4 linked regions of the Alligator mississippiensis genome follow. Each later gene encodes a partner of the first gene's protein in a complex. Links are inferred from orthologs where the notes say so. Each region holds a gene or a part of one and is shown in the gene's direction. Other genes may lie near its edges.

Region 1 (7,636 bases):
CTGCTCCCTCCTCCTCAGGCTGGGGTGGGGTCCCCTCCTCACAAGGGCTGGGATCCCATGTGAGGCAGGGATGGGGGTTTAAAGCCCCCTTTCCCCTGGCCTCAGCATGCTGGCCCCAGGCTGGGGCCTGGCCATAGCCCCTCTGCTCAAGTAGGGAGACAGGGAAGGCCTTGCAGGTCTTCTCTCCTCCCTTTCCTTTGGCAGTGGCTAGGAGGCATGCACTAGTGCTCCTTGACTTCTAGCCTGAGCCACTGCAGGCATGTGGCTGCATTTTTGGAATCAGAAGTGAATGTCTGTTCACTTGCTTCTCAGTTCAATCTACACAGTTTAAACTAACCTGACCTTTGCAGGTCTGAGGTGGTCAATACAACATTCAGTGCTTGCCTGTCAAGGAGTTATGTTGTATTGACCACCAAAAACAAATAGAACAAACAAAACCTGAGGTCCCAGTACAGAGAAACTGAGAAGAGCTATGCACATACTTAGTTCTATACACACAGTAGGATTATGATTCTTTAAATGCACCCTGCCTGCGCATTTATTTTTGCAGGATCTGAGCCTACACTTTTGGGCAATGCCTTCCTTGGCAACGTGTAGGGCAGGGGTGCACAAAATGCAGCCCAGGGGCTGGATGCGGCCCGCCAGGCCATCTATCTGGCCTGTGGGGCCCCGAAAAAATTCAGAAAATTAATATTTATCAGCCCCTGGCTGCCTATCATGCAGCCCTCGATGGCTTGCCAAAACTCAGTAAGCGGTCCTCTGCCCAAAATAATTGCCCGCCCTGGTGTAGGGGGTGCACATGAGTGCACCTGCACTCCCTGAGATTGGTGATGCACCCGCTGAGACTGACTGCTGGCGGTGCCTGCAGGCAGTGGCCTCTCACTGCCCCCCCCAACACTGCCGGCGGTGTCTGCGGGTGGTCGCTGATTGCCATTGAGTGCCACCAATGCTGCTGGCACTATCTGCGGGTGGTCACCGATCGCTGGTTGGCGCTTGCTACCCGCTCTTTGCCACCAACACTGGCGTAGCTGCCTGCAGGAGCTCCCCACTCGCCACTGTCACACCTCTGACACCACTGCCACTGCCTGTGGGCGGTCTCCGTTCATGAATGTCTTGTTTTACTTTCCTGGGATCCTGCCTTTTCCTTTATTCCCATCTGTCTAAAGGAACTACGAAGTCCAGGAAAGAGTCTTAAAGCCTCTTTAAATGCTTCACTCAGGGTGTGAGGAGTCATCATCCGCCAGAGATCCACAACCTAGAATCCTCTGCTATTTTCTTTTTCAAGGAGCTGAGCAGAGCTTACTGTTTTACAAAGTGGCCAGAAGAGGGAGATGGTGTCCTTTCTGTTTTTATTCAGTGACAGTGGTTAGAGTCACCCAAGGAGTGAGAGATTTCTGTTCAAAATGAACTTGCTGTTCAGGAGAGAGCAGAACATCAGGCTGCCAAGTATTCTGAATGCTGGCACACCCCCACCTCCTGTTGAACTATTTTCTGCGGAGTGGTGTAGCTTCAAAATTCAATGGATTAAAAAGAGAGGGCATTACTGAGGAATGTGACAGTAGACCAGGGCCCTCACCTTGCAGCTACCCCCATGCCCAGAACCATTTATCTAATGACTGGTGTAGTGACAAATACAAAATAGTTTTGGGAGTAGGCACCATAATTCAGGACTCTCCCTTTCCAGCTAAGTGCCATACGGAACCATCCCTAGAGGGGGTGAATCGGAGCAAATGCTCCAAGCCCCGCACTTTGGAGGGCCCTATGAAGCCGGGTGGAGTGGTCAAGGTGATTCCGTGCTACTGCTGGCTTCATGTTTGGCAGCTTGCCACCCCCCGCCCCTGCCAAATCTGCTGCCGGCTTCCTTGCATTTGGGGGCCAGGCCCCACACCCTGCTCGGATTGTCTCTGGTGCCATAACTACAAGGCTCACAATGTCATGCTTCCTCTTCTCTTTCTTACTTAATCTTGAATTCTTTTCTGCACAGTGGGGCACAGCTTCAAGAAAAGGAGTGAAAAGTCTTCCTACCCTAGAATTGCCTTCAGTTTTTAGTTGGAGCACTTTCCAGGGAGAGATGTGTTATGGATCTTCCTCAGGTAGAGAAGAAATTAATTGCATTTTCCCTCAGCCTACTTAACTGATCAGATCAGTAGGTTATAGCATACAAGGTGGTGGTGGTGGGGGGGCACTATTAACACCTCTTTTAGATATGTGTGAAAGGAAATGGTGGCAGCTAATGTGTCCTGTGAAGTGATGGATTCACTCAAGTGTGTCAGGTGTGCTTTGAGAATACCTGCAGGACTGAGCCTTGGGGCATTTAGACCAAAGAATGCCTAGTCAGATCTTGATCAGGTTGAGCTGGGTGCTTAGCTGCTCAGCCCTTGCAAAACTGAGGTGCTTAGGAAGAACTTGCAGGTGCCAGGAGACTTTAAGATAACAAACTGCAGTGTCTATGGAGTTCGTAGGCCTTCAGGGTTAGATGGCAGCTGTGTGGGGCTTCTCGCAGCTTCGGACGTAAGTGCACAAATTCCACTTCAGCCTTCTAGTATCCTGTGAGCTAAAGGTTTTCCTAACGTGTAAAGTGTTTATGGTAGGTGCCAGCAGTTTAACATGATTAAAAAAGCCTGACAGGTGTGATTAGACTAGTGGTTTTCAACCTTTATTCTTTTGCAGATCCCTAAAAAAATTTGAATGGAGGTATGGACCCCTTTGAATTGTAAGTCTGGGTATTCACATACTTTTGATTCATCATAGTCATCTTTCATGGAGCCCTTAGACATAGTCTCTAGACCCCCAGGGATCTGCAGACCACAGGTTGAAAACCACTGGATTAGACAAAGGCAGGCAAGGCTCTTTGAATAGATGTGATAGATTTTATTAGAACAATGGAGTAGTTGGAAAAAAATTCTTGGCAAGCTTTCGGGTGTAATTGCCCTTCTTCAGGCATAAGGAGTCTCTCCTGTTCTGATAGTCCAAGGAATGAAAGAAGCTAAAAAAAGTATGGTAGGATGTCAGTGAGAATGGAAATAGTTAGAAATTGGGTAAAGCAGGGAAGGGAAGGGGGAAAAAAGGTGAGTAGGGGACTCACTACAGAGGTAGTAATTCATCTGGAATGCATCTATTATAATCAACACTGTTTCATTTCTCATTTTAGACCACAGAAAATATCAGTTCAATTCTGTTTTGCTAGCTAGTCTTTTACTTGGTAGTGCCCACTCTGGGTTGCAAGTACAGGAGGGAGGAATGTGGCCTGTTTCCACTGAGATCTATGGCAAGCAAAAACCGACCTTTGGATCAGGCAGGGGCCTGCCCAGGCTTCTCCTAGTTGCGGGGATTTGTGGTTTGGGGTGACTGGAAAGGATTTTGCCCCATAATCCCAGCCTAATCTCATCTTCCTGTTCAGGACAATATACTTGATGCATAATATTATTTTACATTTTTATTAGTAAATATACTGTTTTTGTTGACATTCTTTTTTGCACGTGTAATTCAGTGCCAGATTATGTCATGCTAAAGCCCTAAACTATGTCCAGTTTAAGAGGCCCAATATGATAAAAATAAACCAATGTATATTTTTTCATATTAGAACAAGAATGTCTATATTTAGACAGTCATTTTCTCATATCTCCTTTATCTAAATTATAATAATCTAAAAGATTATTATAAAACTTGATATTGAGTCAGGGTTTTTTACTCTTATTTAGAAGCCCCTCCTGTTGTGAAGCCCTAAACTGTAGTTTAAGCCTAAATTCAGCACTGGTTTAATTCATTGCTAAAAACCTTGAATTGTGTCAAGATTAGCTTTGAATGAAAAGCCAGGAGAAGGAACCAACTTCAAGACAAAAATGCAGGTGAGCTCCAGAGAAGTGGGAGCCTGTCCCTGCACTGCACCATCCCCAGGTTCTGATCACGGGCCTTTATTGAATTGCCCTGTCACTCGTGGCAGCTGTGTGAGGACTAGACCGGGCAGCTCCCTTTGCCATCGGAGCAATAGTCACACACACCTGTGGCTGCTTGCCTGCTCCCCCCCCCCCCCCCCTTGCCCAGAGTGGGTGGCAGGCAGCCCCAGCCCAGCAGCAGATGCACAAAGAAGGGCCAGGCAATCTAGCAGGCCTGTCCCTTCGATAGCTCAGCTGGTAGAGCGGAGGACTGTAGAGGTACAGCCTAGACCCACAGGGATCCTTAGGTCGCTGGTTCGATTCCGGCTCGGAGGAGACATGGTTTTGTGCCGGACGCATGGTTTTGTGCCGGGCACATTTTACAGCGACGGGACCTCACCAGTAACCGCCTCAGCCCCACGAGGCGGGAAGGTGGGTGGAAACCAAGCGCAGTGGGCCACGCACTGGGCTCTGCGCATGCTCAGTGGCACCAGCCGCGGCCGCCGCTCTTTTCCAGCCCAGCCCTGTCAGCGCGAAATCTCGCTCCCCGTCATGTCACGCCCCGCCCCCACGCGCCTGCCCGCGCGGCCACTCTGGCGCCAGCCCGTCCGCTGCTGGCCCCGCCCCGCCTGAGCGCGCGCCTCGCCCCGCCCCTATCGCGTGCGGAGCCGGCAGCCAATGGGCGTGCAGTCCGCGTGCGCAGATTCAAACGGCAGCTCGGGAGCGAGGCTGGGCGCGAGATTCGGCGGCGCGGACCAGCCCAGCGGGCGGCGGCGCGGCGAGGCCGAGGAGGCGGCGGGAGCCGGGCACGGCGCGGTACCTGCGGGGGCCGGGCGAGCCATGTCCCGGGCGACGGGGGCCGGGCCGGGCCGGGGCTAGGAGCGGCCCCGCAGCCGCCAGGAGGGCGGGAGCGGCAGCGGCAGCCGACCCCGCCACAGGTGCTGCTGCCGGTGGCGCGGCCTCCCCGCGGCCCCCGCCCGCCGGCTCCCTATGGTGCGCCTCAAGGATGGCTAAGAGACCGCGCAGGTGAGTGGCCGCTGCCCCGCCCCCGTCACCTGTCACCGCCCGTGGGGCACCCCCTGCACGGAGGTGGCGCCTGGTGTCCTGCCGTCTGCCCCGTGGGCAGCGTGGTGCGCCCCGGGGTCGCCGCCCGGCCCTGCCCTGCCCGCAGCCTTTCTTCCATGCCCTTCTGCTCCTTCCTCTTCCAAGTCCGTCCCTGGCGGGAGGCAGCGGTTCACTCTGGCTGGATAACCTGGAGGTCGATGATGCTCTGTGTGAAGGCCCCTGGCTGTCCACCCGGGTGCCGCGGGTGGGGTGCTTTCAGGTCCTTTCAAGGCTGCAGGCCATGCAGTGTGAACCACGGATAGAGTAAAGCATGTGCAGCCTCCTAAAATTGAGGCGGGCAGCATCTGATGAAGTGAACAAAAGCCAGCTCCTGCTCCTTCACCTGCATCTTGGATGTGGATAAATATGGCATTAAGTTTGACTGGTGTTATATAATAAATAAATACGGTATTAAGTTTCACTGAAGTGAACTTGGGCTTGCAAAAGCTTGCGCTGTCATGTACCATGCATGCGCACGTGTATGCACATGTCCCACATCATCTGTCATCTCTGTTGGTCTCATGTGGACCTTCTCCATCCCCTCTCCTTTTACCTGTGGCCCATTCACTGGACAAACATGTATGTCTTAGATTTGGGTAAATATGGTATTAATTTTCACTGAAGTGAACTTGGGTTTACACAGTCTTGTGCGTGCTTGTGTGCGCTCTCACCCACACATCTTGTATTTGGGCAAATGTGGTAATAACTGAATTTTCACTCTCTCTTCATCTCCAAAAGTGGACTTCTTTTAAACACGTTGTATGTTAAAATGTATTTGAATGTATAATATGAGAGAGTGCACACACGACCTTTCTTGACCCTCAGACAATGTCAGCTCTTAGTTTTCAGTCAATGTTTGATTATAGCAAGGTAACAGATCAAGTTCTTCCGTTGCAAAGAACTCGAAAAAGACCAGAAGAGGTCAGAGAGTTTTTAACGCTGAGGATTCCTGTTTGAAAACTCTGGATCTACGTTGTGAATCAGATGTGTACACCTGACATTCTGTGGTGTTTGTGCTGTGTCCTGACTGAGAATCACTAGTGCATAGTGATGCACCTTCGCTGAAGGAGGTGACATGAATTTCTTGTTCCAGTTGGGGTTTATTAAATTTAGTGCAATTAAGCTGTTTTTGATTTTTTTTCAAATAATTTCAGTCCTTTTCAAAAGCCTTTTCATTTTTTATATAGCTTTCAGCTGCCTAGAAGGGATGCCAAAGAATAAAGCCTTAAATCTTTTTTTTTTTTTTAAATCTTATGGCTACTAAACTTAGTTTAAAAAAAAACAAACTTGCTCTCTTACTCTTGCAGATAAAGCTGTCTAATTTCAAACTGTTTCACTTTGTTAAAAATGTCTGTGATCATAGTTCACTTGAACATGAACTGAGATGGTATGGGTAATTGAAAACCATCTATCTGTATTAGATTTTTGTTTTAAAAAAATCCCTCATTTACTTATGTAAATTGCATATTTTTGGACTCAATATATTGCTGTTCCTTTCCAGTTAGTCAAGTCTAACAGTACAATTTATGTTTTTTGAGACTGACTGACATAAGGACTGTATATAGAAATGCATAAAATTTGGTCACGTGTGTGTGTGTGTGTGTGTGTATATGTGTATATATATAATATGACGCTGTTCTCTGTGAAATGTAAACACTAGATTGGTCTTGGTAAACTACATGCATCTTTATAGAACTCTCAGGTGTGAAGTTGGTAGCAGCCATTATCAGTAGGGCCATGGTGACAGGCATACTGTAGAAATTACTCCTTTCAATAACTTCTGTAGTGTCATTCATTTCTGGAATCTAGATATTAATTAAAAAAAAAAAAAAGGCTTTTAGCATATGTATATAGAAAGACTTATAAGTATTAACTAGATGTGAATGATCTAGTATTATATTCCTGAATCTGCACATAGCTAGCATTTGTGTTCAATAAATACAAGCTACTTCATGCATTTCAAAAATACTCATTCTGAAACCTAACTATGATTGCTTATTCATAAGTATGGTTCTTCTCAGTGCTAGATTTTTCTCCAGGTTATTGCATAATCATTGTTGTTTTTGACAGTTTACCTTGCGCCAAGTTCCAGCTGACTCCTGTCTACTTCCCAACGCATCCAGTTTTTTTCATAAACTATATTATAGTATTATTATGTCTTTAAAAAGAGCAGATATGTGGCCTACTGAAGATGTAGGCCAGTGAAAAAATACTGAGTTTAATATTAAAATAACAATTTGATCAATTGCATTTATTTTCATATTTCATTCAAGAAGAAATCTGTTTTAAGACAATCCAAAGATGCTTAAGAACTTCCTTTCACTGTACTAGACAGTAAGTGACATGTGGTGTTGCTACATAATTTTGGTCAGGCTTCCCACAGAGTACACAGTGTCTTGGCTGTAATTCAGATGCAGATAAGCTTTAGTCTTGTTGCCTTTCTAAATAAATGTTAATCTCACGTTAAATAACTTGACCCATAAAAGCCATTCAAATGTGTAAAGTATTTAAAGGAAGGCCACTTTTTTAGATGATTGAGAATGAGCGAAATTAAATTAATACCATATATTTACCCAAATCTTACTCCCCAGTAATTATAATGCATAGAAATTCTATACATGGAAAAATTATAAATTTGTTACAATATTCCATGTGTC
Region 2 (7,279 bases), on another chromosome or scaffold:
CTTGGTCCCTGCTACCACTTCATAAACCTGTGCGCGCCACAGGGCTCTTTCTACTGACCACTTATTGTGGCACAGGATGTTCAGGTCATCCGTGTACACCAGGATCCTGGTCTCTTCTTTGCTGCTGCTTGGGATCTGGACTCCACGTATCCCAGGGTCCTGCCTAATGCGCTGGGCCGGGGGTTCAATCGGGCTGGGTGCACATTACAATGTTGCAGAGATTTTTCTCTCTCTCCTGAAGTGCACACTTTTGCCAGCAACTCTCTTTCATTCTTATACAATTTAACTGTATAGCTTCAAAGCATTCCTTCTTGATAGTTAGTAAATTAAAGTTCAAACAAAGCAGGTAGGGAGGGACCACATTACAATTACTAACTGCTCAGATCCTGTTTTGGGTCGTCTAGTTGTGAAACTTATTTTTCCAAACTTTTGATCAGTCCAGAGGTTACACTTCAATCAAATAGGATGGGTCTTGATTGACTGAACAAGATACCTTGTAGAACTGATCACAGAACAGTGTTTTGGGTAGTTATTTTAACAATAGGGCAGAACCCAAAATAGTCTAAGTTGGTGATGGTTTATGGAGACATTTGCAAAACTCCAAACAAACACTGAATAACTGTTCTGACAAATATGCCTTAATCCAGGGAGAATGTGTCAGCAAGGAGGATATAGTCACATAGGAATATACAGTTATTTATGAGTGGTTTAGCATAATAAAACATTGGGTACATTTGCAACTAGCACAAGAAATTAAATCAAATGGGATTGCTTTATTTTGCATGGTCCCAGTCACAATCTTGCATTCTTGTGCAAGATGCACTGTTGTTTTAATTTGGTCATTTAAATGTCATTTGTAGGTCTGGACAAGCTTTCACAGTTTTCACTTGGCATCAAAGCTTGTTTATCATACTTTAAGGTGCAATTTTATTTGAAACATATAAACCCAATCAGATCTAGGAGTTGTTAGACCAGAAAGGACCACTAGAACCATCTTGTTTGATCTCCTGTATAACAAAAGGTAAAGGTTTTTTGTTCTGTAATTCGTGTACCTAGCCTGCAAATCTATGGCTGAAACACGTCCCTTATAAAGACAATGAATGTCCATTTAATGAAGTTTTTAAGTCATATACAACCTAGCACATTCCTGGCAAAGAGTTCTAATCTATTAAAATAATTATGTGTTATTAATCATTCATACTATTAAAATGCATACAGTATTTTTACTCTGAATTCATTTGGCTTCACTACAAGTCACTGGATTTCATTTTACCTTTGTTAGCTAGGTTAAGGAGCTCTCTGCTACCAGAAAGCCTTTCTTCATGTAGGTACTTATAGATCAAGCTGCCTCTTCATCATCTTTCTTTGGCAAGTAAATACACTGAGTTTTCTAAGTTCTAGTACTCAACAATCATTGTTGTGGCTCACTTGAACCCTATTTTTAACTAGAGTTAATCCCACCTCCTTCCTTCAGCTTATACATCTAAGAATTGCGTTAGCCCATTTGCCCAGAGCATCATGGCCAATTGAAAAAGAGTTAATGCAAAAAAGTGTGTGGGTCCCTCCTGCCCCCATCTCATTGCCTTTTTTTGCAAATCAGTATTAAGGATCAGATGACAGCATGTTGCAAATGTAGATGCATTACAAAGCTACTCAATCTCCAACCCATGGGCCAAATATAGCCTGCAAGCCATCATATCTTGCCCCCAGGAGTCCCAATGGGGTGGGAAATTTGGTGCCAGGAAAGCAGTGGTCATTAACATGGTCACCCTCCCCATACCAAATTCCTAAACCCCAAGTCCTACACTGCTGGTTGCTGCTGGGCCATGCCTCCTTCCCCACATCTGGATCAGGACTGGACCATGCTCTCTCTCCTCCCCATCCAAACCAGTTTAGGGGTGGGCCACTACCCTTCCACCCCACTCCCCTCATGGGGCCAAGCCATACCTCTTTCCCCTTCAGGGCCAGGTTGTGGCTGCATTGCCCCCCCCCGCCAACTCCCCTCCGCGTGGCTGGATGGTGCCCACTGCACCCACCCACCCTGGTGCCAGATCAGGACCACTGGCGGGATCCAGCCTGCAGGTGGACAGGACGCTGCCCATCCGACTAACAGGGGGAAAAGGTTGAGCACCACTGGTATAGCCTATACTAGTTCCTTGAGTGAAATCCATACCAGCAAAAGCACTTGTATGCTAATACACCTGCATCTACACTAAAGCTTTTGCTGGCATTGAAAAGTCATAAAAATCCCATTCTGACAGCTCTATATCAGCAGATTTCTTTGTGCTGACCTTTGTGGCCTCTCCTCATCAGTATTAACCACTGCACGCTCCTCCATGTCACCTACAAGCTTCAATACTCCATGATTACAGACTTTCTTCTAAATCATTACTGAAAATACTGATTACTGGTAGACTAAAGCCAGATCACCCATTCCCCTTTAACTAGGGTAGCCATTCATCCGGTTTTATAGAGGACAGTCTGGTTTTCTGCTACTCTGTTCTCTGTCCTCTAGTGATATGAAACCAGATGCCTTGATGTCCTCTATTTTTCTCTGGAGACACTCAACCTTTCAACCCACAATTGAACTTAAGATGGCTTGTCTTCATTCGTCAATATGTTTGACATTTAATCAATCCCGTGTTTGTATCGGACCTGAGAATGCCAACAAAGATCCTATTTGTCATGCTTCCTAATGACGTCCTTACGTTACAGCTGTTGCTTCCTGCCGTTAAATGTTTGTCTTCAAAATCAGTTTGACATCACCCTTAATTCAAAATGTCCAAGACGACCTTCAATTCAGAATGGTCAAAAGAATGTGATTTCATAGCGAAAAGCAGAAAGGGTGAACATCACACATCCTGTACCCTGTGATATCGATGTCAGCAGCCCAGGAAACGGAGCTGTATATCATCACATTGTGTCAAAAAAACACAAACTGAACACTCGAACATTTAACTTTTTGGTAGCTTCTATAGATGTGGTTATTATGAATTAGCACTAAATTTAGTTTTAAAAAAATCCCTATGCACTAAATGAAACTGTCCTCTATTCTTGAGGTCCCTTGATGGCCACCCCACAGTTCATTTCTGAGGCCTATCAGTGAGCCAGTTTCTAGTCTGTTTACTGGGCGATGCATTGGTTTTGTGCTGTACTGTTATATAAATCAGAATGTAGCTCTTGGAAATTGTACCTTTCCCATGAATTTGTGAGAGATGCTTCATGTAACACATACAGAAAAGGAAAAAATATGCAAAATTTCCAAAAGAAAACTAAAGCTCAGATTTTATGTTTGTAGCTGTTGTATATTTAGGGCTTGTGCCAAAGGACATAAGCCAACCCACCACGATGTTGATCCAGACCCACCTGCCTCCTGGCTGCATTTTTCATGGGGACAAAGCGCTGGGGTGCCATTCGCCCCCAAGCTACCGGGACGGGACGGGACGGGCCGGTCTCAGAAAGGACGACTGTGACTCAAGACGAGGCTGCGCCCTCCCCTGCCCTGCCGCTCCGCGCACTGCCAAGTGCCGCCGGCGCCCCCGAGGCCGGCAGTTGCCACGAGCCGAGGCGGCGAGCGCGCACCGCACAGGCCGGCCGCCGCCGCCGCCAGCCACGACCCTCCCGCCAGGCGCGCAGCCGCGTGGCACCAGCGAGGCAGTGCTGGGCCTGCCCTGGGCGCGCGGAGACACGTCTGCACAACACGGGGGGGGGGAGCGCCCACCTGCCCGGGAGGCCCCCGAGGCGCGGGGCTGGGCCCGGCCCCCGGCCCCGCTCCCCCCGGCCGGCGTTTCCCGTCGTGCCCGGCGGCCGGAAGCGGAAGCGGCGCGGGGCCGCCGGGCCGGGGAGATGGCGGAGGCCGGGCCGCAGCCCCCGGGGGGCGCCCCGAGCCGGCACGAGAAGAGCCTGGGGCTGCTCACCACCAAGTTCGTGTCGCTGCTGCAGGAGGCCAAGGACGGCGTGCTCGACCTCAAGCTGGTGCGGGGCCGGGCCGGGCCGGGCCGGGCCGGGCCGGGCCGGCTGGCGGGGGTGTCCCGGGGCCGCTCAGTGCCAGCGCCCGCGCGGCGCCTGGCGACGGGGCCGGGCCGGGGGCGGGGGCGGGGGCAGCGGCCGCGCAGGGGAGCCGCGGCCGGGCTGGGGGACGGCGGCAGCCTCGGCTCGTGCTGCAGCGCCCGCTGCGTTTCCTCCGCGCTGGCCCCGCCCAGTCTCGCTCCACTTCACACCTGCGGGGCGGCCCCTGGGCCAGCGCCAGGCACAGGAGCTGGTGGGCTCTCTCTGCCGTCGTCTGCTGGCCTGTAAGGTGCACGTCTGCCTCGCTGAGGTCTGCCATCTTTGCCTTTGGCAGCTACTTCATTGAGCTGCTGCAGGGAGGGAGGGAGGTGGGGGGCTGCGGATAGCTGCCTGTCTTCCCTCTCCCAGAGCATAGGTGTGAGGCCCTGTACCCAGCACAGTGGCCACGGGTAAGTGCATCCAGCTGCCTGGTTACGTCGCTGTTCAGAGAGCTAATGCAGAGCGCTCAGTCTTGAGAACTGCTTCTCCTGCTGGCGCTTCTTGTCTGGGCAGCGGCACTGTGGGCACTGGGGTGAGTCTTGCCGGTATCTTATTGTGCTGCAGTCGGTGCTGTAAGTAGCAGGTGTGATCTCTGCCATCTGGGAGGCTTGGCAGCTTCTTAAGATCCCATGAAGGAGTGTCTGAAATGGAAAGTGCATCTGGAAAAGCTGCAGTTGGCTTGCTGTATTCAGAGAAAAGTAATTTATTTCGGGTCTGAGAGTGGCTACAGATGCAGCAGAACTCCTGAGTTTAGGACAGACCTCAGTCAGAGAGGGCAGGTATCATCTCTGCTGTGTTGACTGCTTCCTCCAACCCTGCATCACTATCTCAGTCAGTGTTGGTTCATGTTCAGTCATCTTGGTTTCCTTCAAGCTGTAGTCTTGGCGAGAGAGCATGAAAGCTGAGTGCCTTGAACACAGATAATACCGTGAATCAGATGTAGTTGTATTCTATATCACTTTCATACCACAGCCCAAATCCTGGTTGTCTTCCCCTAGTGATCTCTTGCACACAGAAGAAATGAAAATAGAGTGATGTAATATATTGTTCAGAGCCCTTGAGAGAAAAGTATTGTTCTTTATTGTTTTCTGGTCCTCGGAGCTAAAACAGCCATTCAGACGGGGCCAAACCTATCACTTCCATAAACTATAGGCAAATCATTTTCACCTTGTGCTCTGTGGCATTTGTGGTGGCTCAGGGAGAAGAGAATTGGCCTAGGTGTTGACTGGAGATCATTGTTTTTTAAAGAAAGCAGCGTGGACTCTGTACTATAGCCAATGTTTAAACCCAAGCCTTGTCCACACTTGAAAATGTGTTTACACGTGTATTTTATGCTCATGTTGTGTGTGTGGATCTGTATTCCTGCTGGTGATCCATTTCATATAGATCCAGTCAGATACAAGAGGCATTATAGAAATACAGGAGTGGAAAGGACCCATAGAATCCACTTCTTGCTATTGCATACAAAGCAAAGTCATTTGGATTTTGTCAAAAAAAGGTATGCTTGCTTTGTCTAAAAAATGGCTTGCAAATGGGACTCTTGTTTGTCAGCATTACTTGAACTAATGATTGGCACTGCCATGGAGAGCTGACTCGACATGAAAACTCTTCAGTGACCTGTGCATGTATAGTATCACCTAGAGTGTTGGTGCCAGTTTTGTTGTTGCAAATCTGTAACTTCTGTGCTAGTGTGACACCAATTTCAGTCCCATTTTTGCAGGATTATTTTGGATGGGAACTGGAGCAAATTGATGGGCATCCAGAGGTTTGTTGAGAGAATGGAAGAGAATATGTGTTTTGTGTGTGAGCAGACCTTATTAACAAATCAGTTCTGCTAATTAGAGTTTTGTGAGGAGACTGGGTCCTAGGTTTGAGGGGTGAGACACTGCCTCAGAAGTGTGCTAAACAAATCTGGAGACATCAAGTACTACATGAGTCCCCTCCTCACAACCTTCCTTTTCCTCAAAAAAAAAAAAAAAGTGAGGCATGGTGGCTGAAATTTTGAGGGCCAAGGGATGGCGTTTTGTAATATTGGTTGAGCAACCTTCATTTAAGAGATACTAGTAACTTATATGAAGGAGAGGTATTGGCACTTTATACCAAGACTTGTGACATTTAGATAGAAAAGACCTGTTGGAATATCCAGACCTGTTCCTGACAGTGCAGGATTAGTGTCAGTGTTTTCTTCCTCCAGCTTTTTCACCTCCCTGTTTCCTCCTCTTAACCTCAAGGTTTTGCCATTCCAGTAGAGTGTACATTAAATTGGAAGGTCACCTCACAAAGTTCCTGTAGAATTGAGCATTTAATCCTACTCTCTCTTAGTATGACTCTGCTGTCAGGAGGTTGTCCAGTCTGCATCAGAACCAGATGAGATTGGGGAGATGGTTAGGATTTAGTTTGTGATTAATAGGGGATTTGGGTTGAAGACTGAATTGCAGGGAAGATATAATTAGCAGTCAGAGAGTAGATCAGTGACTGGTTTCATGTCCCTTGACACACAATCTAATTTGCAACTTGAGGTGGGAGACAGATGCCACCAGAATCATAGAGCCTGATCTGTACTGGTATGATGTCCAGGCCTGGCGAAAGGATGGAGCATAAGAAGGAGTCTGGAACCGATTGTCCATCTTTGATTTTTCCACAGGCAGCAGATACCTTGGCAGTGCGGCAGAAACGGCGAATCTATGACATCACCAACGTACTGGAGGGCATTGGGCTCATTGAGAAGAAATCCAAGAACAGTATCCAGTGGAAGTGAGTGGTAGAAATGCTTTGGCAGTGTTAGAAAATTATGGAAGGAAAAAGCCTCACCCTGAGTGAGTTTCTCTCAGGGCCTATCTGCATGTACTCTCATCGCCCCTCCTCCCCTAACTGTTCCCACTGTTGAAGCTCCACCTATGGTTATTATAGTGACAGTGTTACTTTGGATAGGGCCGCAAGCACCTGGTATTCTAACTGTCGTGTCACATGGACCTTATAGATTCATAGATGTTAGGGTCGGAAGGGACCTCAATAGACCATCGAGTCCGAACCCCTGCATAGGCAGGAAAGAGTGCTGGGTCTAGATGACCCCAGCTAGATGCTTATCTAACCTCCTCTTGAAGACCCCCAGGGTAGGGGAGAGCACCACCTCCCTTGGGAGCTCGTTCCAGACCTTGGCCACTCTAACTGTGAAGAAGTTCTTCTGATGTCCAGTCTAAATCTGCTCTCTGCTAGCTTGTGGCCATTATTT
Region 3 (7,588 bases), on another chromosome or scaffold:
ATTTAGGGTAGGACCTGTCTTCTGTCACCCCAAACTCTCCCTCGATAGGTCATGGTGACTGCAAGACAGAAAAGAATACTGAGAGATTTGTTTAACCAAGTAGTTGTGGTTGCTGAACTAAATGGCATAGGTGTTGTAGGGTTACTTGCAGACAAAATATTATAATTAGGATAAAATACTGGAAGGGAACTCCTGGAGAGTTCACTAGTCTACTATGGATGATGCCACACACAGTCAACTGTTGGTGTCCCCTCCACAAATTTACCAATTTCCATCTTTCAAATGTGTGCCGGGGGCCAGGGGGAGGTGGGGCTGATTGGAAGCTGCTCCAAAACCTCTCTACTCTTAGGAACCTTCTAATTTCAGCCTAGGTTTATTCATTGCCAATTTATACTCACTTGTTTGTGTTCCAAGTTTTTCTGCCTTTGTTCTGCTAGACAAACAAATTGAGCTCTCTTAGTCTCCTCTAATATGCTCTCCCTTGTCTTTATCATCCTAATAGCACTTCTCTGCATCTGTTCTAGTTTGAATTCATCGTTCTTGAACATGGGTAATCAGAACTGTGTAGAATATTCCAGACAAAATCTTCCTAGTTTCTTTTACAATAACCCTAATGCTTCCTTACCTCTACTGGAAATAACTTTACCGATCCATTCTAGGATTGCATTTGCCTTATAGTTGCATCAGATTGGCAGGTCATAATATTTTTGTGACAAACTAATACACCCAAGTTGTCCTCATCAGTTGTTCCCAAGTGATAGGATCCTAGCTTCCAGCTGAACTTTGTTATTAGTTCCCAAGTACGTGACCTTGCATTTTGTACTACTGAATTGTATTTCATTTCTGTTACTCCAATTCTCAAGGTTATCCAGTTCTTCCTGTAAGATATTCTAGTCCTCTTCTGGACCTGAGTTTCCCAGGGCTCAGTCCTCAGGCCTGTGCTATTCAACATCTTTATCAGTGACTTGGAGGTGTACACGGAAAGCACACTGTCCAAATTCATTGATGACACAAAGATGTGGGGAGAAGTGGGCACACTGGAGGGGAGGAACAGAATCCAGCTAGATCTAGACAGGTTGCAGAGGTGGGCGGATGAGAATAGGATGGAATTCAACGCAGACAAGTTCAGGATGCTGCATCTAGGAAGAAGGAACCAGAAACACACCTGTAGGCTGGGGAACACCCCTCTTGTCAACACAGAGGCTGAAAGGGAACTTGGAGTCATTGTTGACTCCAGGATGGACATCAGCCACCAGTGCAATGAAGCGATCAGTAAGGCTAACTGCACCTTGTCGTGCATCTGCAGGTGCATCACAAGCAGGTCCAGGGAGGTGATCCTCCCTCTCTATGTGGCGTTGGTCAGGCCGCAGTTGGAGTACTGTGTCCAGTTCTGGGTGCTGCACTTCAAGAAGGATGTGGCTAGTATTGAGAGGGTCCAGAGGAAGGACACTTGCATGGTCGCGTGGGGGGGTGGGGGCAGCAGGCCAGGCCCTACGAAGATAGACTAAAGGGCCTGAATCTATTCAGCCTCCACAAGAGGAGACTGAGATGGGATCTGGTGGCTATCCATAACTCACCAGAGAGGACCAGCAGAAAATAGGTGAGGCTCTGTTCCCCAGGGCACCACCTGGGTTAACAAGGAATAATGGCCACAAATTGATTGGGAGCAGGTTCAGGCTTGATATCAGGAGGCATTACTTTACGGTTAGAGCTGCCAGGCTCTGGAATGGGCTCCCAAGGGAGGTGGTGCTCTTCCCTACCTTGGGGGTCTTCAAGAGGAGGTTGGATAGATGTCTCACTGGGGTATTATGATCCCAGCACTCGTTCCTGCCCAGGGCAGGGAGTCGGACTTGATGATCTGTTCAGGTCCCTTCTGACCCTAGAAACTATGAAACTATGAAACCTACACTTTGGAGTCACCACACTTTTACTTAAATATCTGGATCATTAATTAAAATACAAACAAGATTAGTCCCAAAATTGATCCTTTAGAAACTCCATTGGTAAACTCCTTTCAGCCTGATATTTTCCTTCTTAGGGTTACCCAGTGTTTTCTTTATCTAGGTCCTTGCTGACCTCATAATTTTTCTCCTAATCCTTATTTTCTCCTGCTTCGCTAATAATTTTTCATGCAGTACTGTAGCATTTACTGAAGCACAGATAAAATGAGATCAAATATATTTAATCTGTCTAGAAAATCAGTTATCAAAAAAAGCTGTCAGGTTACTTTGACATAACCTATTTTTGGCAATCCCATGTTGAATTTTACCCTATTTTCCATTCCCATCCACTTTGGTTGCTCTTTCTCTTAAAATTTGTTTTAAAACTAATAGGAGAGTAGTTGCCCAAATTAAAATTTCCTTTCAACTATAGGTACCATATTTGCTGTTTTCTAATCAAATGGTACCAGACCCAACTTAGTAGACGTATTCAAAAATTTTCTACTGGACCTATTATTTAATGGGCTAGTTCTTTCAGAATTCTGGGAATTACCAGGTCTTCTCAGCTTGAATGCATTAAACCAGGGATCAGCAACATTTTGAGTAAAAAAACCCCACAACCTTGTCTTGGAAGATGTTGGCATGCCAGGGGCAGACATCAGGGAACTGCGAGGGGCCTGATCCTTGTTGTGGCCATGGAGCCCTTGCCTTGGGCCCCTTCCACACCATCTGCCCCAAGGCATGTGTGCACCTGCCTCCAGCAGTGATCCAGGCTGGGGCTCCGCAGAGCCTAATGCAGCCACTTGCAGCCTCCTGGCTGCTTACCACAGCCAGCCTGCGCTCTGCAGGCCCCTGCCACCAACCATGGAGTTTGGGCTGCTTGCAGCAGGTGGTAGGGAGACTGCAAGCACCTGCACTGGGATCCACAGAGCCCTGGCCCAGCTTGTTGGTGGCAGTGGGTGCATGTGCACTTTGAGACGGACAGGGGGGAAGGGGCCCGGGGTTCCCTGCTACAAGGATCAGGCCCCTTGCGGCTCCCCGCTGTCGGCCCCGAGGCACACGTGCCAAGTAAAATGCCTTCGAGTGCCACATTCTACCATGTGTACCAGGGGTTGCCTACCCCTGCATTATACTCTGACTTTTGCTCCCATCTAATTTGAGGTTATTTGCATTTTGATGCCCTCGTTCTTATCTATCTTGCCTTTGCCACAAGGTCATCCTTATCGAAGGAACATCTAACTTTGTTTTGGCCTTTGATTCACGCACACAGCATCCTCAATTTCTGTGTATCCTCATGACCTAGCGGCTCCCTCTAAACTTTCCTTTTTCTCTTTTATGTCATTGAAGAATGTTTTGCTCTTTGTTATATTTGACTCCGGTCAATCTAATTCTGCTTGACTTGGGCGATTCTCACTTTAACCCTGTGCTTCTTGGTCTCCTAGCTTCTCTTCTTCCAGCACTTGTAAGCTTGTCATTTAGTTAGGGCTGAAGTCCCTTCCTACAAGGCCTTTCTGCCACCCTGCGGCTTTGGGAACACAGACCCCTGCCAGTTTTACCATCTCGGACTGAAATAATTTCCAGGCTTCCTTTCCACTCAAGCCATTGAGATCCTCAGTGCAACTGACTTGGCTGACTGGTTCCCTTCGTTTATTAGAGGGAAAGGCTTGTGAAATGGAAAATCTTTATGACAGATGTACTGGAGCTTTATTCTTTCATCACCACTCTTTACTTTTTATTATTATTTAGTATTATTACTATTAATAGTTGTTATTCTCATTGTTACCAATCTCATCCTAGTAATAATAATCCTTATTTGTTATGTACTGTTAGTGTGTGAATTTGGGTCTTGTGGGCGTGTGTAGGAGTGGGGGTCTCAGGTGCGTGTGAGTGAGGGTCTCATGGGGGTGTGTTTGTGTGTAGGGAGCGGGGTCTTGTGGGTGTATGTGTGGAGGGAGCGGGGGTCTCATGGGTGTTTGTGTGAGTGGGGGGTCTTGTGGGTGCATACCTGTATAGAAGTGGGGGTCTTGTGGGTGTGTGTGTAACAGCAAGGGTCCTATGGGTAAGTGGGGGGTCTCAGATGTGTGTATAGGAGTGGGTGTGCAAGGAAGTGGGGGTCTGAGGTGTGTGTAGGAATAGGGGTCTCATGGGTGTGCACATGTAGGTAGTGGAGGGTCTCATGGGGTGTGTATGTAGGAGTGGGGGGGGTCCTATGGGTTAAGCATGTATGGAGTGGGGGTCCCGTGTGTGTGTGTGTGAGTGGGGGTCCCATAGGTGTTTTTCTAAGAGTGGGGGCCTCAGGTATGTGTGTAGGAGTAGGGGGCTCGTGGGTGGGGGGGGGGTGTCGTGTGTGTAGGAGTGGAGGTCTCGTGGATGTGCGCCCGTGTGGAGCGGACCGGGGCTGGCTCCCGGGCCCGAACGGTACACTCCGCTCCCTCAGCGCGCGCTGGACAGACGGGAAGCACAGGGGAGCCGAAGACCACTGCCCGGGGGCCCGGCCCCGCCCCGCGCGCTCGTCCCGCGCGCCGCCGCCGCCGCCCCAGTCAGCTCAGCGCCGCGCGCAGGCCCCGCCTACCGCCGCCGCCCCACAATGCCCCGCGCCAGGCAGCCTTTGAAAAAGCGGCGCGGCTCGTTCAAGATGGCGGAGCTCGATCAGCTGCCGGACGAGAGTGAGTGCCTGCCTGGGCCCCTCGCCGCCGGCCCTGCCTGCTCCCCTCCGCTCCGGCCTGTCCCCTTCCCCTTCCCCTTCCCCTCTCCTCTGGCCGGGGCTGCCCCTGCCCCTGCCCCTGTCCTGGCCCCTGCCCGCGGCATGGGGGGGGCCGGGACCCGCTGCCCTGCGGGGCCCTGACAGCGCCCGGCGCGGCGGGGGACCAGGACCGCAGATGCCCCCGCCGGGCAGGGGTGAGGCAGCGGGGGCTGGGGCTGCTGTGAGCGGGGCTGGACGCGGCCTCCTCCCCCCCCGTGCTACGTTCCTGTGCCCATCCCTGCCCTGTCTGCACCCAGGGCTGTGGCACCCCTGGGTGCCCAGGGGTCCTTTCCCCGGTGCTGTGGGGTGCCCTGCTGTGCTCGTTTTGTTTGGGGGGTGATTTGGGGACAAATCCAGAGGTTCACATTAAGGATGTGGGGTGTCCCTACCTGCGCAGGCTCCACTGACTCTTTGCCACAGTCGGGTGATGCTGGTGTTTGTCTGCCCTCAGGGGGAGGGGAAGATTGTAAGATAAGCTGGCATTTTGCAAAGGGGGATCTTGAGCCTCAGAAGAAAAAAGTTAAGACCCTCTTTCCCCTACCCTCTAGTCTGTATAGACATTTTGCTGTACAGGTGACCAGGTGTAGAAATTGGTGCGGGCACCACATGCTGACCGGACACCACTTTTGGTGCAGCCTGAGCAAACAAAAATAGACTGAAAGGCAGGTCGGCATCTCCAGGTGGGCAGTGCTGTGTGTGGATGCCGCCACCAAAAAAGAAGCAGGACTGGAAGGAAAATGACTTCGTTGATTGAGAAATGACACAAAGTGGTGTTACACCTCAAAAATGTAGCCGATGTGGTGGAGGAGCGTAAGGTTGGAGTGAGCAGCACATAAAGGACATCAGGAATGTTGCATAAGGATTGTGATGGAAACTTCTCTTCGTCACAAGCAAAAGGCCTGAAGGGAAATAGTGTAATGTCATCGGAAGAAGACCCCAGCAGACTTTCCGCCTATGTCAGATGGGGCTGGACTCGATCTCATGAGGTCCCTTCCAGCCCCTCATCTATGAAGCACCTGGGGAACCAATCCGTACATTAAGACCAGTGCAGAGCAGTGCAAGGAGGACACAGTGCCCATAATTGCTTGAACTGCTTTGGCAGATGGGTGGCTCTAAATAAATGGTAACCAGGCAGGAAAGAGAGGCCCGACTTTCTTTTTTTACAAACCAATGAAAACAACTACTTAATATTGGTTTGTTTGGGTTTTTTTGTTTGATTTTTGTTTTGTTTTTTTTCAAATCACTTCTAGGCATTATGATGCACAAACATTTATATTGGCTTTTAAAGTTTCAGAAATGAACTAGACAAATTCATGGATTACAGATCCATTAATATCTTAAACAGAAGAGCTGGGGATGTATCCTCTGGCACCTCTAACCCAATGATGGTGGATGCCAGAGCAGGCATGATAGAGAGATCATGATAGATATACACTGTTCATATGTCCTCCCTCTAAAGCGGGGCTGTCCAGCTTATTGGCTGGGGGCCACGCTGCATACCATAAGGGCCATGGCCTCCCCTAACTTCCCTAGCTACAAACTCCCTTGGCACCATTATGACAGACAGCTTCCTGCCTGTTGCACTCTATAAGTGGACAGATATTCTCTTGTCCCCAGCTGCTATTGCTTGCACAAGCAGGTGGGTGGCCCCCTGCCCCTAATGTCTTTGGCTGTATGCTCCCCTGTTGTGCATGTTCCCTCAGCATTGAAGGCATGCTGTCAGCCAGATGCTCTGAGTCATGCTGTCCTGCACCCTGGGGCAGCAGGAGGAAGTGAAGGCCAGAGAAGAAGGAGGAATCTGGAGACCCTGGCCGCAGTAGCATCCAGAACAGTTAACTGGACAGGGGGAGCCTAGGGGCTGCAATTTACCCTCCCACAGGTCGCAGGCCACCAGTTGGACAGTCCTGCTCTAAAGCATTTGCTGCTCCTGGTGCTGTCACAGACAGGTCTATTTGTTATGCCCAGAGAAACATTAGCCTGGGCCCACCAAGGGAACTCAAAGCCTCCATTAATCAGGGAGGCCAGTAGAGGCAAAGCAACTGATAACTTAGGACAACTAAAGTGGAACATGGACTAGAGTATGAGTCACAGGTTTATAGTGTGTATTCCAAGGGGAGAACACTGATCAGAGTACAGCAGCCAGCGCTTGCCGGTCCTCAAACAAGTCCAAGGAGCTAGTGAATGCCATCCAGTGAAACTTGGACCATGGCACAGGTGCTCAGGTGGGCTGGACTGGTCTGACCCAGTATGGCACCGAGTTTCTATGGCACTTAGAATCTGTGATTCACATGATTTTTCAAGGGGGGCATGGTGCAACCCCTTGCTGAAGAACTGTCATGACCCCAAGGCTGAGAATAATACCATATATAAATAATTCAATTATAAACTTCCACGGTAATGCTGTCACTGTTGTACGAGGTTCAAATTCTTGTTGCTTTTATTTGAAAAAATACCAAGGAAGTAAAAATATCTAGAGGGGCAATAAAAGTAATTAGATGCATGGAAAAATTAATATGAGGAGAAATCTTAAACAATTAGAATTGTTCAGCTAACAGAGATGAAACCTACACTAGGACATGATAGAGGTATATATGAACAAAGGGGTAGGGTAGAGAAGGTCAGCCCTATTTCTAAAGGGAGCCAGTCAAAGTAGAGGATACCATACTCAGACAGAAGATGCAGCATCTGCAGATATGCATCCCATACATGGGCACATTCCTGTATATGTGCAAGTTCCCACATAGATGCACCCAACACGTTCATCTTCATGCATTCACAGAATATAGAGCCAACACCTGAAAGAGGCTCTTTCCCAGTACATCAATATTCACCAAACATGCCTGTATGCTTAATATGCACCTGTGAGTTGCATACATTCTCTTGCGGATGTCCACACAGACTACGT
Region 4 (7,860 bases), on another chromosome or scaffold:
GATACATGCAAGTGAGATATGAAGGCATTTGGAATTGATCCTGACCAGTAGGAAACCTTGGCAAGTGATGGGAACAAGTGGCATCGTTGTCTCCACCAGGGCATCAAAGTCCACAACAGAAATTGGCTCCAACAACTTGAAGAGAAAAGAGCCAGTAGGAAGCAAGCAGCTCCCGAACCACCCAACCATAACATATACATTTGTAACTGCTGCCACAGATCACACAAATCTCAGATTGGACTGTTCAGTCACGTGAGACACTGCAAACCAGCTACATCATAGGCTGCAATATCCACTGTCTGCCATAGACAAAAGGATGCCAAAGATGTAACCTGTGGAAAATAATAAAAATGACAGCAATAACAACAACAGTGTTTGCAGGCCAACATGTTCTAATATGGGTGCTTGAAGCCAGGTATTAAATTATAAATGATTTGCCTTCTGGAAATGCTGAACACCCACTTCAAATATTCCAATAGGTATAAACATTTGCATTAAAGTGTGTTCACATGCAGCTGGTTTTCTTCTGGGATAATAAAACTAGGAGGTTTCATTTATTTTCCTGCACAAATAGAAAACCCTCTTTTTGCAACACTTGACTTGCAAATGCTTCAAAGAAAGATTTTAATCCAGTATGCTTAGAGACACTTTGCTTAAATTATTTTAGTTAGTATTCCATTAAAAAAATAAAGCCGTCTTACTTTTGCAGGATAGGACACTCAGGTCATGCCAAGCTTTGATTGCTTTTGCAACCTTAGACATTTACTTCTATTTCAAAAGAGTTATAAAGTTTTGTAGTGTGTTGTCATGGTGGGGTCCTGCAGGAGGGACCTCGAGGAGATCACGGCCCTCGCTCCATGTCAAGGCCGGCCCAAGGCACCCTCTAATTCTCGCCTGCCACGTCTTTGATGTTTGTATATAGTTGGGAGGCTGCCTATGACTCCCTGGGCACAGCTACTCGGGACCTCTGTCCTTGTGTGTTCCTGGACCCCCCCTGGGGGTCTCCCGGTGTAATGGGTGCTCCCCAGGCACCCTAGCCTTATGGGCTACGCGTGGCTCCTACCACCCCTAATACCAACGCCTCAAGCCTCGCTGATGGGAAAGACGTTGTCCGGTCGCAATACACGCCTGCTTCCTCGGGTCCTCTCCTGTAATCTAGCCCACTCTTGGGCCTTCTCCATGTGTTTCTCTACTAGTGCCCCTTCCTGGGCTCTCTCTAATACAGTGCCCCTCACTGGGACTCTTGAGACCCACTCTGGGCCTTCTCTAAAAGTGTGGTCCTGCTCAGGGACCCTCTAGCGGGTCTCCGGTCCTTTAGGCCAACCGCACAGCTACCCTCTCTGATCCCGGCTCACCGCACTGCTATCCCCTTTCTCCGGGAACCACCGCAGCACCTTGCCTTTCTCTTGGGGCATCGTACTACTAACCCCCTTCTGTCGGGGTCCATCGCAGCACCCTGCCCCTGTCTGAGGGCTGTTGCCGCACTAGCCTACGGCCGTGCTCACTACGCCTGTCTTGGGCCCCTCAATAATACCGCCCCCTCTCCGGGGCTCGCTGTGCCCCTCTGGGCTCCTCACTAATACCGCCCCCTGTTTGGGGCTCTCTACACCCAGCCTGGGCTCTTAAAAATGCCCCTCCCTGGGGCTGGGGTCTATGCACCCCGCAAGTGACGCCCTTGCTGGCGTCTGCTGTGCCCGTCCTGGGCTTCCTAATATGGCACTCCCCCTCTTCAGGGCTCGCCATGCCCACCTTGGGCTTCTCAATAGTCCCCCCCTTTCTCGGGGACTCGCTGGGCCCACGCTGGGCTCCTCTAGAGTGCGCTCCCCCTTTCTGGGGCTCGCCACATCTACGCTAGGGCTTCCTAGCAGTGCCCCCTTCTGGGGCTCGTCATGCCCACACTGGGGCCTCTCAAAGCTGCCCCTCTCCGGGGCTGGGGTCTACGTACCCCGCACACAACCCAGGGTCTCTGTTCCCCACCTGCAACCCACTAGTTGCGCTCCTTGCCGCCAGTTGCGCCTTCACTGGCGCTGGGGTCCCCATACCACTGGGGTTCCCCCTTAAAGTACTGTGCCCTCACTCAGGCACTGGGGCCCCCACACTCCCATGGGGCCCTTTATGAGGACACTGTGCCCTCCTCAGGTGCTGGGGTCCCCACACTCTCTGGGGTCCCTATGAGGATAATGCACCCTCTTGGCCCTAGACTGCGCCCTAACTGGCGCTGGGGCACCCCACCCCTATGAGGCCTCCTCCAACCCTTACAGCCTCACCCAAACCTCCGGTTTAATATCAAAGCCGAACATAAACTCGAGCCTCCTGGCTATAACTCAAACATAAAGCCTCCTGGCTAAACCATGGTGCTCAAACCTCTCAGAGCTGCCATCCTTCTCTCAGCTAGAGCAGTTCCTACATTGCTCAGCTCCTAGCTCCAGGAGCTTCTGCCCCTCTGACTGCTAGCAGGGAACTGCCAGCCTGGCCTTAGCCCTGGGGTTTATAAGGGCCAGGCCCTGCCTCCTACAGGCAGCTGGCTCCCCTTAGTTGCCCCGGTAACCCGCAGCTGGCTCTTTAGGTCCTGCCAGGGTTCTCTCTCTCTCCCTGGCAGTTTCTCCTCTTTAGGAGCAGGAGCACCGAGGTGCCCTGCGACATGTGTCAAAAATAATTACTGCATTTCACGGTGGATAGGCCAACACACTGTAGGTTGACGCAAGGCTTTCCGATCTGAAAGGTAAGGATTTTCATAGGCACAGTGTATGAATTGGGGCTAGGCTTATCGCTCTACTGGCACAGCCCCATCCCCTGTGGTGCAGCCCATGGTGTCACTTGAGCCTGGCAATGCTCACAGGACAGGGGCTGGCCTGGGCTCACCACTCAGCTGGCACTGCCTCATCCCCTGTGAGTGGGGAGCCCAGCCACAGGGGATGGCCACCACAGCCAAGCGCAGCCCTGTCCCTGTCCTCATCCCCTGCAAACAGCACTGGGCTCATGGGATGGGGCTGCACCAGCCAAGCACCAAGCCTGGCCCTGTCTGCTGCAAGTGGCACTGCTGAATGCCAAGCCTGGCATATATCTCTAAATACATAAAAGATGCAATCTAAACACACAAATCCACATATGCACACAAATCCACACGCACATGCATGAATCATGATAGATAGATGCACATATAAATGCATATATATGTATAAATGTATATAGGATTTACATGCTGTCCTTCCCAACAGACTTTATCTTGCTATAGACTACTCTGAGCCTGTCTGTAAATAAGGGTGTAGGTTGTAGCTGTTGGTCTAAGGACATACCCAAAGAATTTTGTCTGCCTAAATCCCATGTATCTTATATTAGACCAACTCAAATAATTGGAAAAATTCTGCTTAACAAGCTTTCAGGCACAAACACCTTTTGTCAGGCTGAGGAAGTGCCTGCAGATGGTCTGTGCTCTTCCTGGATGGAGTGGTAAAGCAGCCATAGGCCACTCCATCCAGGAAGAACAGACTATCTGCAGATGCTTTGTCAGCCTGATGAAGGGTGTTTGTGCCTGAGTGCTAAGAAGAATTTGTCCAACTATTTGAGTTGGTCTAATAAAAGATACGGGATTTATCCAAAGAATCTTGTCTGCCTAGGCCTGTAGATACGGATTTCCATGCTCCCTTTGTCAGTGAACGCCATACCCGCGGGTACTCAAACATTACAGGGATGCTTATCTTCCGGACTAGCCCCCAGGGCATCATTTGCTGACACCACCGGCTACCTGACCAGGAGGGGGCCCACAGCACAAGACGCACCAAGGATCAAGCAAGCCACAGGAGAGGAGAGCGAGTACGTGCTTGCGTGAGAGAAACGCACCCACCGCCCTGAACCCACTGCCCGGTCGGGGGGGGGGGGGAATCGTCCCAGGACCGCGCCGGGCGCATGCGCAACCGCCTCCGCGCCCCCATCTCCGCGCGTAGCCTTGGCCTTTAGTCCGGAGCCGCCGGGCGCTATCAGGTCACGTGCCAGCGTGATGCCGTCATGAGCCCGGAAGCGGCCGGAGGTATTGGAAGCAAGAGCAGCAGTAGCAGCCACCGCCGGAAGGAAGCGTCCAGGCTTAAGGGAAGTGGGAGTGGGAGGGGGCAGGGGCTGCGCGTGCGCGCTGGTTGGGTGACGCGGGGCCGGTTGCCAGGGCGGCGCGGCTCAGTATTATGGGATGTGGCGGTGGAATGGCGCGGGGCGCGTGATTTTGAACAAACGCGGAGCCGGTCCCTGGTGCTGCCGCCGCACGGGGCAGGGGGGGCGCGGCGCGGCGCGGGCCGGGGGCGGGGCGGCCGCGCCCGCCTGGTGAGTGACAGCGCGGGAGGACCGTGGGGGACGCGCAGCGCGGGGGGGAGGGAGAACTCGGCCTACGTGCGCCGCCGACGCAGCCGCTTCCCGCCCGGCATTGGGCTGCAGGGGCCGGCCCGGGTCCTCCCTGCCCTGGGTCGAGCCCAGCTGCGGCTCCTGGAGGCGAGGCGGCTGCTGTCGGCCTCTCCGCGCCGCTCGTCCGCGGGCAGCGGCGTCGGGTCCCGCGCGCTGCACCGCTGTCACGTCCGTGCGGAGCTGGGGGGCGCTGCGGGCTGCTCTGGCTCCGTCGCTGCCGGGAGGTTGCTCTGGGCTCCCGCCAGGGCCGGTGCGAAGGGCGAGGAGAAGCCGCCCCGGCTCCGCCGTGCCGGGACACCCCCCGGCGGCTTCTCTCTTGCGCTCTCCGGACAGCGGGCGGTTGTGGGGACACTCACTCACTCACTCGCCCCAATTCTCTCCCTGCGACCCTCATCAAGGTCATGGGGGGGCGCGCGGGGGCTGTTGTGCCGCCGCCCGCTGTGGCGGGCTCCCTCTCCCCGCCCCCAGGCCCGGGGCGGGGCGGTGGCGGCGGTGACGAGGTGAAAATGGCGGATCTTTCGAAATCCAGTCCCGGGCCCTGACGGAGCAGCCGCTGCCCGGGACCCCTCACTGCAACCGAGAGTAACGGGCAGGAGGAGCCTGCGCCGGGCTGGGCCGTGGAACCGGGGTGCTAGCGGCCCAGGCTGGGCCACTACTTGTGTTGGGCCCAGTGCCTTGTACCCGTCGCCGCCTCTGGGGCAGGGGGCCTCTGCTTTGCCTCGGTGCAGGGTGGTTGCTGGCAGTGCCCTGCTCCCATTGAGCATTGGGTCTTTCAAGCCCTGTTCCGACTTGCCCCATCCCCTCCTGCTGCTCGTTGTCCTGCTGGCAGGTGAGTAAAGCTAAGCAGCGGCTTGTGTTGAAGCCTGCTGGATGGGTTGGTATTTTTATCAGAGGGCAGTCTTTTTTCTCTTCTTCTTGCCTTTGGAGGCTGGCTGTAGCTCTGCAGGGGTAACAGGCTTCAGAAGGAGAAGGAGGTAAAGTGAGTTTGCCATAGTGAGTAGGGGGCCCAGCTACATATACTGAATTACCCCCCCAAAAAAAACCCTGATGGGGATTGGGTGTATGGCTCCTCTTGAGTAGGAAGTATGGTGCTGGCAGGGACTGGCTATATTGCTTCCCTTGTGTAGGGAGCTGAGTGTATGCTGTTAATCCACAGCATCACAGGTGGCATTCTTGGGTTTTGTGCACATGGCACCTAGCCAGGTTTCAACTCTGTTTCCAGCGTGTGGCAAAGACTCGGCAGTGCTAAGCACCCATAATTCCCCATTGCCCAGCACTTTGCAGGATCAGGCTCCAAATTATAGCCCTAACAAAACAGGATAGCATGATTATAATGTACTTTGGTCTCATTGTATCTGTGCGTTACTCTGTGCTTCTGAAATGCGTTGGGTGTTATAATACACTTCTACTATACAGTAAAAGTGAGAGCTCATGTTGGCTCCGAGACCAAACTGTCAGATATTTATGTGACTTTCTGGAAAATATCTTTTGAATGAAAGCCTTTTACATGTCATTTTTTAAGGAAATTTTCCTTATAATGTCTAAAATGTCATACTTGGCATGGACTTTGCCCTTGGTGAAAGCAAGTTTTTTGTGTGTGTGTGTTTATTTTCAAACTGAATCCTTTCAATCTGGAATCCTTTGATACATGTGGATTTCTGACTGTTTGTTTTTCTTTCAAAGGTGGAACTCTTCCTTGAGCCTGCATATCTCTGCATGTGAAATAATACCTTTTTGTTTTGGGGCATCAGGAATGATGCAGTTTCATGAGGAATTGCACTTATAGGCCACGTGAAACAGCTGCTAGACAGTAGTCTGAACAGGAGGAAAACACTGAAATGCATGCTGCTTTCTCTTGTCATCTTACACATTGAGGGTTAAAACTTTCTGTCCAGGCTCAAGTAGTATTAGAGATGTTAAGTCTGTTGGTCTCTGTGATGTTCATAAGTACTGTTTAGGATACAATGAACTATTTGAGAGTTCAAATTCCTGCTGAACATGATACAGGAACTAGCAACAAGTGACTCTTATTAGGTAAATTGCTTAACATTACCAGAATGTGTTTACATGCTATAGTGATGAATGCATTCTATGAACCCATTAAGAATGGAATGGAACTGGGCGTTCAAGAATGGTGGGATGTTTGTTTGAATAATACATTAATTTTTTTAGGCTTTAATACTTTGCTCCATCAAAGTTATGTTTGACTACGTATATTACAGATGTCAGTATTTCCCCCCTCTATTTTCGATTCTTGCATTATAACAAATTTCAGTAACTTCCTCTCAACCCTTAAACATGTTTGTCGTACCAGCTTAGACTGATCAAAATTTTTCCTTATTAGTGGTTAATATCTGTTGCAGTTGAAATGGTGCTTGAAAATTCTACCAATCTTATTAGCCCAAGGGTAGACATGAAAGCTGGGAAAGAGAGAAACTCTTGGATTTGTACCTGGAGGATGTCCCTGGTTTCTGACAACAGACTCAGTCTTTTGCTCCAGTTCTTGGATTAGAATGTGACTTGCACTGTTTATGAAAGAGCTTCATCAAGCTATTTAATCTTTATCTGTTGAAGGATCATCTCAGAGTTAAATTCAGATCTCTTTGTAGCCCTTAACTCCTGGTTTTGTTTCAGGTGTGTGTGACTTTAGGGTGGTCACTTAACCTTTCCCTGCTGGAGTTAATGCATTTATTAGCTCTTCCCAAATATTAATACATTATACTGACAGGAACCATGTAAATATCTACAGAGAAGAACTTCTGGGGGTTGTTTTAATTTGTTTCAGCAGCCCATGAGAAACAGGAGAAGAGAATCTCTATTCTATTTCATTCCTACCCTTTGTTTTCTGGGAGGTCCTCATCTGAATAACTCAGTCTGTCTCAGCTGCTGTTGGTAGTTCTGCTCAGCAGCTGTGTGGAATTGATGGGATTCACTGCTGTCTACAGGGTTCTGAATACATCTTCAACATCCCCAAATATAAATCCTAGTCATTGGGCTATCAACTGTTCTGGCATGGCATTTCTAGTTCTGTTCTGAACCTGAAAGAACTTTCTGCTAAACTCCTTGTAAAAACTAATGCTACTGCCAAAAAGTTTTTGTTTCTTTTAATCGGTGCCTCCCTTCCTGTGAAAAAACTGTTTTGTTGGAAAATTTGTACTTGGCTCCAGAACAGTGATTCTCAACATTTTTTTTTTTTTAATGTTAAACTTGAGGCATCCCTTGATAACACTTGTGAATTGTGACACCCCATTTAAAAACCTAATTGGTTTATTACAGTGCTTACCTCCTTGCAAGAGATTTTAGGTAAATGGAATGCAGGGGTTCAATCTGCCTGTCCTTACCTGCTCACTTCCAGGCACCTGGAGCCTGTACCTGCCCTTATCTGCTGAGTTCTTTGCACCTTCTTATCTGCTCACACTTTTGATCCACCCTTCAAAGGATCTTGTGGTATACCGGAGTACCCTGGCATCC

The links.
Region 2: MYBL1 (region 1) and E2F4 share a complex: the UniProt entries of both Homo sapiens proteins name them as parts of the DREAM complex. The link is inferred for Alligator mississippiensis from reciprocal best matches to the Homo sapiens genes MYBL1 and E2F4.
Region 3: MYBL1 (region 1) and LIN9 share a complex: the UniProt entries of both Homo sapiens proteins name them as parts of the DREAM complex. The link is inferred for Alligator mississippiensis from reciprocal best matches to the Homo sapiens genes MYBL1 and LIN9.
Region 4: MYBL1 (region 1) and LIN54 share a complex: the UniProt entries of both Homo sapiens proteins name them as parts of the DREAM complex. The link is inferred for Alligator mississippiensis from reciprocal best matches to the Homo sapiens genes MYBL1 and LIN54.

The regions. Positions count from the first base shown.
Region 1 is NC_081826.1:64,074,755-64,082,390, forward strand, and holds the start of MYBL1 (myb-related protein A), read left to right. Parts: upstream 1-4,605; 5' UTR 4,606-4,881; coding exon 4,882-4,901; intron 4,902-7,636. UniProt on the Homo sapiens protein: Transcription factor that specifically recognizes the sequence 5'-YAAC[GT]G-3'.
Region 2 is NC_081833.1:31,514,888-31,522,166, forward strand, and holds the start of E2F4 (transcription factor E2F4), read left to right. Parts: upstream 1-3,846; coding exon 3,847-3,975; intron 3,976-6,691; coding exon 6,692-6,801; intron 6,802-7,279. UniProt on the Homo sapiens protein: Transcription activator that binds DNA cooperatively with DP proteins through the E2 recognition site, 5'-TTTC[CG]CGC-3' found in the promoter region of a number of genes whose products are involved in cell cycle regulation or in DNA replication.
Region 3 is NC_081824.1:179,696,475-179,704,062, forward strand, and holds the start of LIN9 (protein lin-9 homolog), read left to right. Parts: upstream 1-4,499; 5' UTR 4,500-4,527; coding exon 4,528-4,606; intron 4,607-7,588. UniProt on the Homo sapiens protein: Acts as a tumor suppressor. Inhibits DNA synthesis. Its ability to inhibit oncogenic transformation is mediated through its association with RB1. Plays a role in the expression of genes required for the G1/S transition.
Region 4 is NC_081825.1:146,548,845-146,556,704, reverse strand, and holds the start of LIN54 (protein lin-54 homolog), read left to right. Parts: upstream 1-4,489; 5' UTR 4,490-5,218; intron 5,219-7,860. Other genes in the region: COPS4 (COP9 signalosome complex subunit 4), read right to left, coding at 3,841-3,932. UniProt on the Homo sapiens protein: Component of the DREAM complex, a multiprotein complex that can both act as a transcription activator or repressor depending on the context. In G0 phase, the complex binds to more than 800 promoters and is required for repression of E2F target genes.